Linked DNA regions of Caenorhabditis elegans. The protein of the gene in region 1 interacts with the protein of each later gene in a pairwise test. Each region holds a gene or a part of one and is shown on either strand. Other genes may lie near its edges.

Evidence for each region.
Region 2: the proteins of gpr-1 (region 1) and kxd-1 interact in a two-hybrid assay, tested with the Caenorhabditis elegans proteins (2 studies listed by BioGRID).
Region 3: the proteins of gpr-1 (region 1) and lin-5 interact in a two-hybrid assay, tested with the Caenorhabditis elegans proteins (6 studies listed by BioGRID).

The regions. Positions count from the first base shown.
Region 1 is NC_003281.10:8,627,152-8,631,366, reverse strand, and holds gpr-1 (G-protein regulator 1), read right to left. Parts: upstream 2,442-4,215; 5' UTR 2,411-2,441; coding exon 2,163-2,410; intron 2,112-2,162; coding exon 1,611-2,111; intron 1,561-1,610; coding exon 953-1,560; intron 901-952; coding exon 680-900; 3' UTR 591-679; downstream 1-590. Other genes in the region: DnaJ homolog dnj-10, read right to left, coding at 1-33, 99-192; polk-1 (DNA polymerase kappa), read left to right, coding at 2,871-3,071, 3,125-3,277, 3,346-3,580, 3,629-3,984, 4,035-4,215. UniProt on the Caenorhabditis elegans protein: In the 1-cell embryo, probably together with gpr-2, controls nuclear rotation and spindle elongation during mitosis. Complex of gpr-1 and gpr-2, in association with lin-5, activates G-protein signaling to affect mitotic spindle force.
Region 2 is NC_003283.11:7,219,867-7,222,748, forward strand, and holds kxd-1 (KxDL domain-containing protein), read left to right. Parts: upstream 1-1,602; 5' UTR 1,603-1,612; coding exon 1,613-1,705; intron 1,706-1,763; coding exon 1,764-1,846; intron 1,847-1,895; coding exon 1,896-2,098; intron 2,099-2,147; coding exon 2,148-2,191; 3' UTR 2,192-2,290; downstream 2,291-2,882. Other genes in the region: C13F10.6 (FTH domain-containing protein), read right to left, coding at 33-735, 786-924, 979-1,113; C13F10.7 (CCHC-type domain-containing protein), read right to left, coding at 2,470-2,882.
Region 3 is NC_003280.10:7,858,720-7,864,120, forward strand, and holds lin-5 (Spindle apparatus protein lin-5), read left to right. Parts: upstream 1-1,939; 5' UTR 1,940-1,940; coding exon 1,941-2,080; intron 2,081-2,126; coding exon 2,127-2,744; intron 2,745-2,792; coding exon 2,793-3,846; intron 3,847-3,894; coding exon 3,895-4,009; intron 4,010-4,060; coding exon 4,061-4,269; intron 4,270-4,377; coding exon 4,378-4,707; 3' UTR 4,708-4,844; downstream 4,845-5,401. Other genes in the region: sds-22 (Protein phosphatase 1 regulatory subunit SDS22 homolog), read left to right, coding at 1-140, 183-314, 360-588, 635-721, 768-959. UniProt on the Caenorhabditis elegans protein: Essential component of the spindle apparatus required for spindle positioning and chromosome movement. Acts to recruit or anchor gpr-1/gpr-2 complex to the spindle and cortex.

The DNA.
Region 1 (4,215 bases):
CTTTGCTTAGTGCATGCGTTGTGTGAAGTTGAGCTGTAACATAATGTTTTAAAAAAGCAGAAAAGAATTGGTTTATCACCAAATGGAGAATTATTAACCTAATTTTGTTGTGGAAGTCGTAGGCGTGGATACTTGAGCTAATAAAGGTACAGATCGATGAATGAGCCCGCTTGAACGGTTTAAGACAAACATTCCGAGTACCCTGAAACAAATTCACATTTTAAAATATAGAACATTCTAAAATAAATAATAAATTAATAAAATTAAAATAAAAAAATAAATGTTTTTTCAAGCTGTCTGCAAACACCGTCACGGTAAAACACACATTTCGGACGGAACATCGGAGCATCGTTTGGATTTTTCAATTTTCAACTTTTTCTCCGCGAATTTCAAAATCCGGCTCTTTTTCGGGAAACAATGCTTATTTACTTTCAACAATAATAAAGCTGGAATGGATGAACCGGATAAGGAGAAAATCACGAAAGTCATCAACGTATGTAGTAAAGAGTCTATAGAAATATGACTTGATGGATTTTCGCTAATTGAAAAAATCAGCTTTTCTGACCAGCAAATAAAATAAAAGAACCACTAAAATGATAATAATATTTACTGAAAGAAAGTAAAAAAAAAATAAATAAAGAAAGTTTGATTGTATTATTTGACAGAAAAAATAATGGTCCTATTTGGACGTCATTGTCACATCATCGCTTCGAGTATCATCGCCCTGCATCGAATTTGTAGAATCCAATGACGATTTGCTTTTCTTCGACCTCTTCAGGATCCTATTCATTGTGTGACCATCGAACTTCATCGACTGCACTTTTGTCCAATTGGCACGGAGTCCAGGGAGGATTCTGTGACTCTTTGTAGTCTTTTTCGATGCCGATGACACTGGACGAGCTGGAAAAATATAAATTTGCATACTTATACGCTTATTTATAACATTTCTTACGCGGAATGAATCTGGCAGCAGGCAGTTCAGTTCTTTGATCATCCATACGTGAGCTCATACTGAAAATGAGATCCATCATGTCTACGGGTTCCTCGTTCTCTTTCTTTTCGATCGCCACTGGTTTCTTCTGGTCGTCAATGATTCCGTTGACAATCATTTCCCAGGTTTCCACATTTGTTGCGTGCTCCAGTTCGACGACGAACTTATTAATCATGTCATTCGAGGATGTCGGATCAGGAGACGAATCAATTGCGAGGCATACATCTTGATCAGTTGCCGTTTCGCTTCTCTCTTGATTCATCGCCACGTCGATCTGCTCGTAGAACAGTTTGAAACTGTTTTGGTTGATGGTCAGAACACTCCCCAAGATGATAAAATAAGCAGCTTGGCGTCTTTTTCCAAGTGCAATGAGGCACTTTGCGATTGTAAGCAACACATCTCCAATGTATTCGTTCAATCCAAGCTTCCGAATCGATACAAGCGCTTCCAATCCGTAGAGATATGCTTCGTGGAATTCGCCATTTCTCAGCATCTCTTCGGATAGCTTCGACTTATATTTGACTACATCTCGCTCTTTTCCGAATTTCGTGGCGTAGAAGAGAGCACTTCTGTGAATAAAGAATTGATATTTTTATTAATCGTTAAAACTAAAAATTACCTGAGATCTCTGATAATAAAGAAAAGAAGATCTGTCTCAGCATATAGAGCCTTGTCGTAATAGGCGATGTGAACTGCTTCAAACTGGTCTGTTTTGATGGCAAAATCGATGCATTCTTGATACTTGCGACGCGATTCCTCGTATTTTTCGTCTAGTGACAAGCATTTCGCCTCAAGTAACATGATTTTGGTCTCAGACACAGCTCCTTCCGTATTATTCTCGTTGAACAATTTCACGGCTGCAATCTGTTCAGCACATATTGACAAAAGCTTCTTCTTCTCATCTTGATTACTCTCGACGTCTCTTTCACATCCTTCGAGGCACACGGAAGCGAACAAAATTCGAGCTTGACCGATATACTTCTCTCCGTTCTTCTTATTGCTGGTGTAATCAATGAGATCCTCAGCAAACCGTCGAGCCTTGGGGAACTTTCCCATTTTGAGTGCCTGCTCGACGATGCGACGTGTGGAATCACATGCTTCTGGGTAGTTGAAGATCAATCTGAAAAATTAAGGTTATAGAATGTCCAGCTCATTTTTGTGATTCACTTACTTGAACATGTTCAACTCATGTTCGAAAAACTCCAAGGCCTTGGCATCATGGTTCAAATGCCTGCACACTCTTCCGTAATACATGTAGATTGTACCAAGTAGTTGAAAATTTGAGGTTCCGAACTCCATTATCTCCTCTAAGCGTCCTTTTCCATCCTCGTATTGTCCCAATCTCATGGCCGTCACCGCGCTTTTCAGCATTGCTTCGGCGACTTCATCCTTGGGACCATCGTAATAAGAGACGTCCATTCGTTTTGCGAATGTGGAAACTTCTGAAATGAATCGAAAATTGCAAGCAAAAATAAAAGAAATAGAGGAATTTTACGGAAACAGGCAAAACATTCCCGCGATCTCCACGAATACACGAAATATTTAAAACGGGGAAAGTTTCTTCAAATATCTCACGAGGTTTAATAGACTATTGCACATTTTGTTATAAATTTTACAAATCTTCAATAAAACAACCGCTGACAAACAAATAAACTTGAAAAATGACTCGAGAATCTCGAGACAGATCTGTGGGGAAGTGAAAATTGGCGGTTAACGCGTAGTTTTTTCTCGCGCACTCAACTTCTAATTTGGCGCCGCTTTCTGATATGTCGTCAAATGTGTTGCCGATGTACGTAAGTACACCATTACGCGCATTTGCACACTCACAATCAGTGGAGTTTCTCCGCGAATTTCAAAATCCGGCTCTTTTTCGTGAAAAATGCTGACTTTCAACGATAATAAAGCTGGAATGAATGGACTGGATAAGGAGAAAATCACGAAAGTCATCGAAGAAAACACATCAGCGTCCTACTCGTCGTTTTCCAAAAAACAACAATCAAGAATTGAAGAGAAAGTTTTAGAAATCAAAAATCGTTTGCAAACAGCAACCAGAGAAGAAAGACAAAAATCTGAGATACTGGTATGTATTTTAAAAGCTAATAAATTTACTTAGAGCAAATTTCCAATTTTCAGATGGAGAATCTTGAGATGAAACTGGAATCATCTAGAGATTTATCAAGAGACTGTGTTTGTATAGATATGGATGCTTATTTTGCCGCAGTTGAAATGAGAGATAATCCTGCACTGAGAACAGTTCCTATGGCCGTAGGCTCATCGGCAATGCTGGTAAGCACCTAACTCAATTTGAAAAGTAAATTTTCGATTTCGGAAAAGCTTTAAATCTATTCTTTCAGAGCACATCCAACTACTTGGCTCGCCGTTTTGGAGTCCGTGCTGGAATGCCTGGCTTCATCTCAAATAAACTTTGTCCGAGTCTAACGATTGTTCCAGGAAATTACCCTAAATACACTAAAGTCAGTCGCCAATTTTCACAAATTTTCATGGAATACGATTCGGATGTTGGAATGATGTCATTGGATGAGGCATTTATAGATTTGACAGACTATGTGGCAAGTAATACAGAAAAAAGTTAGTGATTTAGATTTGATTATTAACAAAAAACTATTTGCTTACTAGAAACCTTCAAGCGTCACAGATTCGGCGGAGATTGTCCATGTTGGTTACCCCGTTTCGACGAGAATGAAAATACTTTGGAAGACTTGAAAATCGAAGAATCGATCTGTCCAAAATGCGAAAAATCGCGGAAAATCTACTACGACCATGTGGAGTTCGGAACTGGACGAGAGGAGGCTGTTCGAGAAATTCGATTTCGAGTTGAACAACTCACGGGATTAACATGTTCTGCTGGAATCGCATCTAACTTTATGCTCGCTAAGATTTGTTCTGATTTGAACAAACCAAATGGTCAATATGTGTTAGAAAATGATAAAAACGCGATTATGGAGTTTTTGAAGGATTTACCGATTCGTAAGGTGAGACTATTAAAGCATAACCTTCTAGTTTTACCTAGATAATTTTTTAGGTTGGAGGAATTGGTCGTGTATGCGAAGCTCAACTGAAAGCAATGGATATTCAAACTGTTGGTGATATGAATCTGAAGAAGAACCTATACCCTTTGTGTTTCACGCCTCTCTCACAAGAATCTTTCCTTCGAACGGCTCTCGGACTGCCAGGTCGTCCATCTGAATCGGATCCACGAAGAA
Region 2 (2,882 bases), on another chromosome or scaffold:
TCTACTCTTTTTTTTTCGAAAATTGAACATACGATATGAGAAGCTCTTTGACAGAGTACATTATCGGCAGAACCGTTTCGAGTTGAATAAAGCCGTCTTCGTGAAGATTCGTCATATGAATAACTTCTGCTTTTTTGAATATCGACGGGCAAGCATCAGCTAGATCCTTGACAGTATTATCCTCTTCGTCTCGAAATTGAATATTCAAAGTTGGAATCATTTTTCTTGTCGGTGAAAGATTATATGGTCCATTTGTGATGAATACTTGTAAAACTCGTGATCTATCCGACATGAATTGAGTCAAAGCAATAATAAGATTTCGCGGCATTTGTGGATCAGGAAAAACCAGCTGACACGTTTCCAGTTGAACTTCATGCAATGCCATCTCGACCATAATTTCTTCAATGAACCACGAGTTTTTAGATAGGCTCGGATTGACGTGGCAGCAGAAATGTTTCAAATTTGGATTTATTAGTCGTTTCATTCGTTCAATTTCCGTACACCATTGTCGATCGAGATGAAGTTCCAATGATTCGATTCGATCCAAAACGGCGGCGTCGCCTGATTCCTCATCCAATTCAAACGAAAAGTTTCGTGCATTTCTCACAATGATTCTGTTTAATTTGGGAAACTTTTCTATATTGTCCAGAATTTGTACAGTAAATCGACGGCATCTAATTTCAAACTCCACTATCCGATTGAGAAGTCGCTTGCTGACTCCGTTGAAGAAAACATCTTAAATTTAATAATAAATTCCTGAAAATTATCGTTTTTGCAGTAATTACCTGGATTTTGAATAGTATCCTTGTAATTATAGCCTACTATTTCGCTACGTTCATCTTCAGGAACATCTGAACAGTTTCGAACTGAAAGACGGGACGAGAAATTACGAGGTCGCATGAGAAGAGTGAGAATTGATGGCCACTGAAATAAAACATAATTATAATACAGGTTTAAAATAATTATAAGCAATCTCACATTAGGATCTTCTTCCAATCGAATCGCAAAATTTCCAGAAATCGGAGTTTTCAAGCACAATTCTCTCAATCTTCGACTCGAAAGCTCCAGTGAATTTCGATCTTTGAACCTCTCAACAAATTCGATAATCTTCATCATTAGCATGTCATTCCAGTATAGTAACGTCTTCGTTTCCTCACCATTTGGCATCAAAAACTGCAAAAATATATGTGATATGAGCGGAACAAGAACACAAATCTATGCGCAACAGCTTGAACAAACATTCGGTTGACCGAATCGAATCGATAAAGGTGCGGGGAGACTAGCGGAGCGTGGTGGTGGTCACTAATGGATTCTCGTGAAAAGATTTATAATTGATATTCAATAAATAAATCAACAATTAGCTTAATTTTAACTATTTTCAAATGAAACGGAACGCCGTCCAGATGCGTGTCAGCAAGTGCGCGCGTGCGTAAATCGATAAATTTGCTTTGACATTTTCGAGTTGCACACTCACAGCGCGCGGCTCTTTTCTTCCATTTTCTCATGCTTTTTTCTTGTTTTTCTCAATCCCTGCTTCAGCCGTTATTCATGTTTTATGTCTTGTTGTGTCTAGAATAAAACATTTATTAATAATTTTTTGTTTCAGTTATAAATGGCTGAGAAAAATCACCAACAACAAGAACGACTACCTGGCAACCCGTTTTTCCCATCAAGAAGCAACGCTGGCTCTTCATTTGACATGCCCGTAAGCTTTCTAATAATAATAATGGGAAAAAGGAATAAAAATATTTAATAATATGCAGGAAACACCACATCTCATCGATTCGCTCACTTCTCAAATCGACGAATTCACAATTCAAAGCATAATTGATACTCAGAGACAGAGGTAATATACTGGAGAATTTAGAATTTATTGATTTTTCTTTTTTTTTCAGCTTGAAACGCTTCGAAAAGACAAATGAAATGCTCATGAATTGCGCTCAACTCGGCGATCGAAGAATTGAAAAAGCAAAAAGGGATTCTGTGGGACACAAAGAGACAATTCTGCAGATGAAAACTGATTTGGAATTTATTTTCAAAAAAATTCGCATGTTCAAAACAGTTTTGTCGTCAAAGTATCCAGAAGTTTATGCTGAAGGTGCAGATATTTTAATTTGAATACTTTTAAAAAGTTCATCAAATTTCAGTGTCAGCCGAGCTAACGCCAAAACGAAGCGAGGAAGACGAATGAAATACAATTTATTCGTAATTGAAAAACAAGAAGAAAAAAAATAACAGATCATTTGGAACAAATACAAGTCACAGAAATTCAATAAAGATCTCAAATTTTTGATTAAAGTGAAGTCGAAATAAGTTATAAAATTTTTTGTTTTTAATTTAATTAGTAACTTCACTATGGGGACTTTTTGACACAAGAGAAACAATAGAAATTTGAATAGAGAAAATATTAATGTGGAGGTGGTTACTGTCGGAATAAAAATTTAGAGTTAAAATATCAATATTACACGATTATGATCTACGGTGACGTTTCGAGTCACGACAGTCATCATCAGAATCGGAAGAAGCTGATCTATCATCTGAGGAAGAATGACGGCGTTTTCTTTTTTCCTTTTTACTTTCCTTGCTCTTCTTCCTTTTTCTATCCTCTTCCTCATCAGAATCACTACTATCATCAGAATCATCTCGTCGCCTTCTCTTCTCTTTCCGTTCCTTCTTTCTCTCCTTTTTCTCGAGTTTCTTCGCCTTCTTCTTTTCTTTTTTCGCCTTCTTTTTCAGCTTTTTCTCCTTTTTCCGCTGCTTTTCCAAAGCAATGAGCGGAGTCTCGTCGTCACTTGATTCAGATGATGTCGAACTGACCTCGTACGCTTTTGTCGATACATTTGGACGTACTTCAATGTGATTTCGACACTGGAAGTATAGAT
Region 3 (5,401 bases), on another chromosome or scaffold:
AATCTTCTGGTTTCAATTAGCCCCACAATTTCTTCGTTAGTTACTTTGACATCCCTGGATTTGTACGAAAATCAGTTGACCGAAATTTCGCATCTCGAATCACTCGTAAATTTGGTTTCTCTTGATCTGAGCTATAACAGGTGAAGAATTTAAGAAACTTTTATTTCAATAATAACTTTCAGAATACGCCAAATCAACGGCTTGGATAAATTGACAAAGCTCGAGACTCTTTACCTTGTCAGCAATAAAATTGAAAAAATCGAAAATTTAGAAGCTTTGACGCAGCTCAAACTGCTCGAACTGGGAGATAATCGGTAAATATGGAATGTTTCAACATCAAAATCACAAATTGTGTTCAGAATCAAGAAAATCGAGAACATTGGTCACCTTGTAAATTTGGATGAATTATTTATCGGCAAAAATAAAATTCGTCAGTTGGAGGGAGTGGAGACCTTGCAGAAGCTCAGTGTTCTCAGCTTGCCGGGAAATCGTATTGTGAAAATTGAAAATGTTGAGCAACTGAATAATCTGAAGGAACTTTACCTCAGTGATCAGGGTCTACAAGATATTCATGGCGTCGAACCTCTGGTAAAAAGCAATTCAAAATACACTGAGAAATGGGTCTTTTTTGCAGACTAATTTACTTCTTTTGGATGTTGCAAATAACGAAATCAAAACGTTCAGTGGCGTTGAAAGACTAGAAAGTCTTAATGATTTCTGGGTAACCGAGACATTTTACGTTTCTTCTATATCTTTTATTATTGCAGGCAAACGACAACAAAGTGGAAAGCTTCTCCGAAATTGAGCAACTTTCAAAGTTAAAGGGTCTTCAAACTGTATACTTGGAGAGAAACCCGTTCTATTTCAATGATACAAACCAATATCGCAGAAAAGTTATGATGACCCTCACCCAAGTAACTCAAATTGATGCTACTACGTGCAGAAAGCCAATTGAATAACTCTCGGACGCTTCCAATAAATATCCGTTTGCTTTTCTTATCCATGATAATCTTTCATAAATATGTATCAGTTTGCTTCATTGTTTGATATTGAGAACAAAGTGTAAGGTTATTAAGAGGAATCGCAAATGAATCATAATCGACCTCCATATGGGCGAAGCCAATCGAAATGGCCAGATATTATCAGCTAATGAAAATTTAAAAAAAAAACGACTAATCAAGAGTTTGAAAAAGGTTTCATACTTTGAGAATAATGCAGTAGTTTTTAGACGGTGCGGTGAGATTTTAAGAAGAAATTATTTATTCTTCTCGCTAAATAAATATGAACCAAAACCAACTTTCCATGCCTGAAAACTTAAAGTGTGTCAATTACAGAGCTTTTCTTTTGAGAACAATCAAGAAGTTTCCTCGAAAAGTATTAAACATATATGAAATGAAAGCTACTGTAAGATTTTTTGTTGTGAAAATAAAGATTTTATTGGAAGGCGCACTTAACTTTGTCCCCTAAAAAAGGAATGTTCTTTCTTTGTTTTCATTAAATAATTTCAAACTCAGCAATGTGTATACGGTTTTTTTAAAAGGCGCATGCACATAATCTTTCACATGGTTTTATAAATAAAGAATGAAACCATTTTCGCGCGCGCGCGCATTTTTGGTTTTATTTTTCATGTTAGATTCCTCTAATGTTCATTTCAATCAGTGTGTCATCCCACTTTTTAACAGCTTCATTTTTATTTATTATTCGTCCTTTTAATATTTTTTTGGTAGACTTGTGCATGTTGACCTGCAGGTCCATGGAAAAATTGTCATTTGAATTCCCGCTGTTTTTAGAAGTGTCGTGAGAAAAGTGTACGAGCATGGTGTAAGAGACGCAGACATTCTGCGTGCGTCTTTTAAATATTCTTCGTTTATGTATGCGTTCTCTCTCGTTCTTTCGCTCAACCACTCGCATTTTCTTTGAATAATTACTCCTTCTGCAGAATGAGCGTGAGCACATCAGTTGTGAAGTCAATGCTACAATTGACGAACTATTTTGGCTCCAATTTCACACCGAAGACGGAGACAATCAGCTCATTAGCCGAGCTTTGGGAGAGGCACGGGAGTATGATCGCCAGTATGATGTAAGTAATAGCTCATTCATAAACAATTTCATATTTTATTTTTCAGGTCATGCGACACTCGGGAGTTTGGCACAGCTGACAAATTCTATGAAGTTATCTTCCGCAAAATCGCCACAACGAGTCTCAGCTTCATGACCGATTCATTGGAACCGAAGCTTGCAGCGAGCGGAGATTCACTGGAGATTTGCAAATTCTACGCTCTGTTTCTCGAGTATATGAGAAAGGATCACTCGGGAATGCTCACTCGCGCATTGGAGCAAGCGTCATCAGAGAATCGCGTCGACACAGCTGTGCTTCTTGATATGTTTTTGTTTTTCGACAACGTGTATTCGGAAAGTACCGCTGACGACTGGTGGGCATGTCTTCGGAGAGATGACGAAGATCAGGAAGCATCCAGTGGCTTCAGGACTCCGAAAAGGAACAACTACAGCTTGACATCATTGCAAACACCAACAGCTACTGCCCGGCGACTACGCACAGCTTCCTCAACTGCTCGGCGAAGCCCTATAGCGGAGGCTGTCGATTCCCCTACCATGAAGTTCATGCGAAGCGAGCGGGAGCTGAAGCAGTCTAAAGCGAGAATCTTTGGTTTGGAGCAAATGTTAGGAGACCTTGAAGATGACAAGACCAAGTTATCGGCTGAGAACAGAACTTTGAAGCTTTCGTAAGTAAAATGGTACATTGAATTTAAAATATGGAGAAAATATTTTAGGAATTCCGATCTGAAAAGCGACATCGCTAAACTGAAAGGTATCGCCGAGGAGGCACAATTTCGTGCTGAAGAATTGAGCTGTGATCTCGAAGCCAAAAAGGATGAAGTCCACAACATTCTCCAACAACTCAATGAATCTCGAATGACGTTGAGATCCGAGCAAAGAAGTCTGGAGGAAGCTGACATAAAGAAAGAGAATCTTACTGCTAAGCTGAAAACGGTGACCGAAGACAATGGGAAGCTCATGAAGCAGGCCAGAGAGCTTCGAGATCTCAACGACTATGAATTCGCTAGATTCCGTCAGCAGGAACAGGAGCTTACTGAGACTCTTCGGGCGACGCAGGACCAAATGGCTGACCTCCAGGAACAACTTACCGGAGTGGAAAAAATAAGAGCGTCTCTGAAATCTGAAAACGAGAGCCTTTCTGCCAGTGTTGAGGAGTTGAGTGTTGCTTCATTGAGAAACAAACAAGATGCTGACAACTCTAAAACTATGCTTTCCGAGGAACTGGCGCGTTTTGAAGAGACTGTGGACAAACTCCGACAAGAAAAGCTTGAAGCGTTGAGCATGGCCAACTCCAGAATCGATGCTCTTCGTTTGGAACACTCGGAAAGAGAGAAAATGATGAAATCCACGAATGCACGCCTTCAGGCTGACCTTGACGAAGAGAGGAACGAGAAAAAGCGCTTGATGAATCTCTGGAATGAACTGAATGAAAAGTCCCTGAATGTCGACAAAGCTGTACATAAAAGCAACGAAGAATTTCAGTCAATGGGTTCTTGTCTTCAAAATGCGAAAAGACAAATTGAGCAGTTGGAAGTTGCGTGCAAGAGTAAGGACGATATCATCAAATTTCAAGAGGAGCAGAACAAACGAGCTGCCAATCTGATAAAGAATGAAAAGGCAATACGCGATCAGGCCTCAGCTCAATTTGCCGAGAAGTTGGCAATTCTCAAGAATTCTCTAGCGGAAAAAGAGAACGAAACAGTCACCCTTAAAGAAAACTTCGCAAGTGTGGTAATGAAGCATAAAGCCGAATTGGAGGAGAAAGAGGTTTGCTTGTTGAATATCAAATTGAATACAACATTACTTACTTTTTAGCTGTTCCTTCAATCTAGAGTGGATCTGATTCAACGTCTCGAGCACGAAGTTGCAGATCTTCGAGAGAAGGAAAGCGCCGAGATTAAGAAATCCACCTGGATGGGTGAGAGAATCAGTGAGTTCATATTTAACGTTTCGAAATTGAATTTTCAATCTTGTTTTTCAGAAATCTTCCAACAAGCTCCAATGAGAGGTTCGAGAATCAGATGCGGTTCGCCAGACAGCTTGCCAGACTTCCTCGCCGATAATGGACCAACAATTACCGAAGAAGAATTGCGAGCACAGCTTGCCACGTTCCCAAGAAAATCGATTGCTCCTAGTGTGGACGACAACGAATTCGATAAAGGAACACCGATTGGATTCAAGTCGAATATGGTAATCAGTTTATTATTATGCAACCTCAATTTTGTGAGACGAGACAATTTCTTATATAGACGAGACAATTTCTTACCACAAATATTGTCCAGAACGTTCAATTTTCAGTACGATGGACGTGAGTCAATTTGCTCTTTGGATTTCTTCGACCGGTCTAGTCTTCAACGTTCGTCGATGCGATCGGAATCTATCCAATTGGCATCGCCATCATCAGCTGGAGAGTTCAAGCAACCATTCACACCATCCGGAGTAACCAAGGAAAGAGTTGGAGTGCTCACTGCCAGAAACGAGAAAGTGAAGCCACACCTAAAATGCTCGTACGCCTCTGAAGTTGGAAGTACGAATTCGCCATCCGCAGACGAGGAGAATATCAAGAAGTCCAAGAAAAAGAACCGTCGGGATTCGATTTTTTCTGCTTTTTCGAGCAAAAAGCAGTAAAATATACTTTCATACATTGTAATATAACTTTTTCACAACACACTTTTGTTTTATGTTTTGCTCCGTGTTGTATCCTATTTTATCTATTTTACAATTCCTTTCCTAACGATCGCTGAGAAATGAAGAAGTTTCTTATTTTTTATGTGTTCTTGTGAAAATGATTGTTTCATCGCAGTTCTATTGTAAGAATCAGGCCCTTTTCCTTCACAAATCATCGTGCCGACCAGGGGTGTGCGGCGAATATTAGCCGAATTCGCCGTTCGCCGATGATTTTTTCGATTCGCCGAGTTCGCCGTTAGCTGAAAATTTTGAAAATCGGCGTTCGCCGAATTCGCCGTTCGCCGAAAAATCGCCGAATTCACCGTACGAGAATCGGCGAACTCGCAGAGCGAAATTCGCCGTTCGCCGAAAATTTCAAAAATCGGCGAGCGCCGAATTCGCCGATCGCCGAAAAATTCGATTCGCCGCACACCCCTGGTGCCGACGCGTCCCCGTTTGAATTGCCGCCCAGCCGCCGTGGTCGCATTCTCCGCGCCGAGACCCATCGTCGATAAAGGCTGCTCCTTTAACCGCCGAACGCCTAGATATATAAGCTGAGGATCGCTCATTCTGGATCATTTCTTAACCTTTTATAAGTTACGTGTCTTATTGCTCCTTTCTCCCGTTTACTTGTTGCGACATTGCCATACGTCTG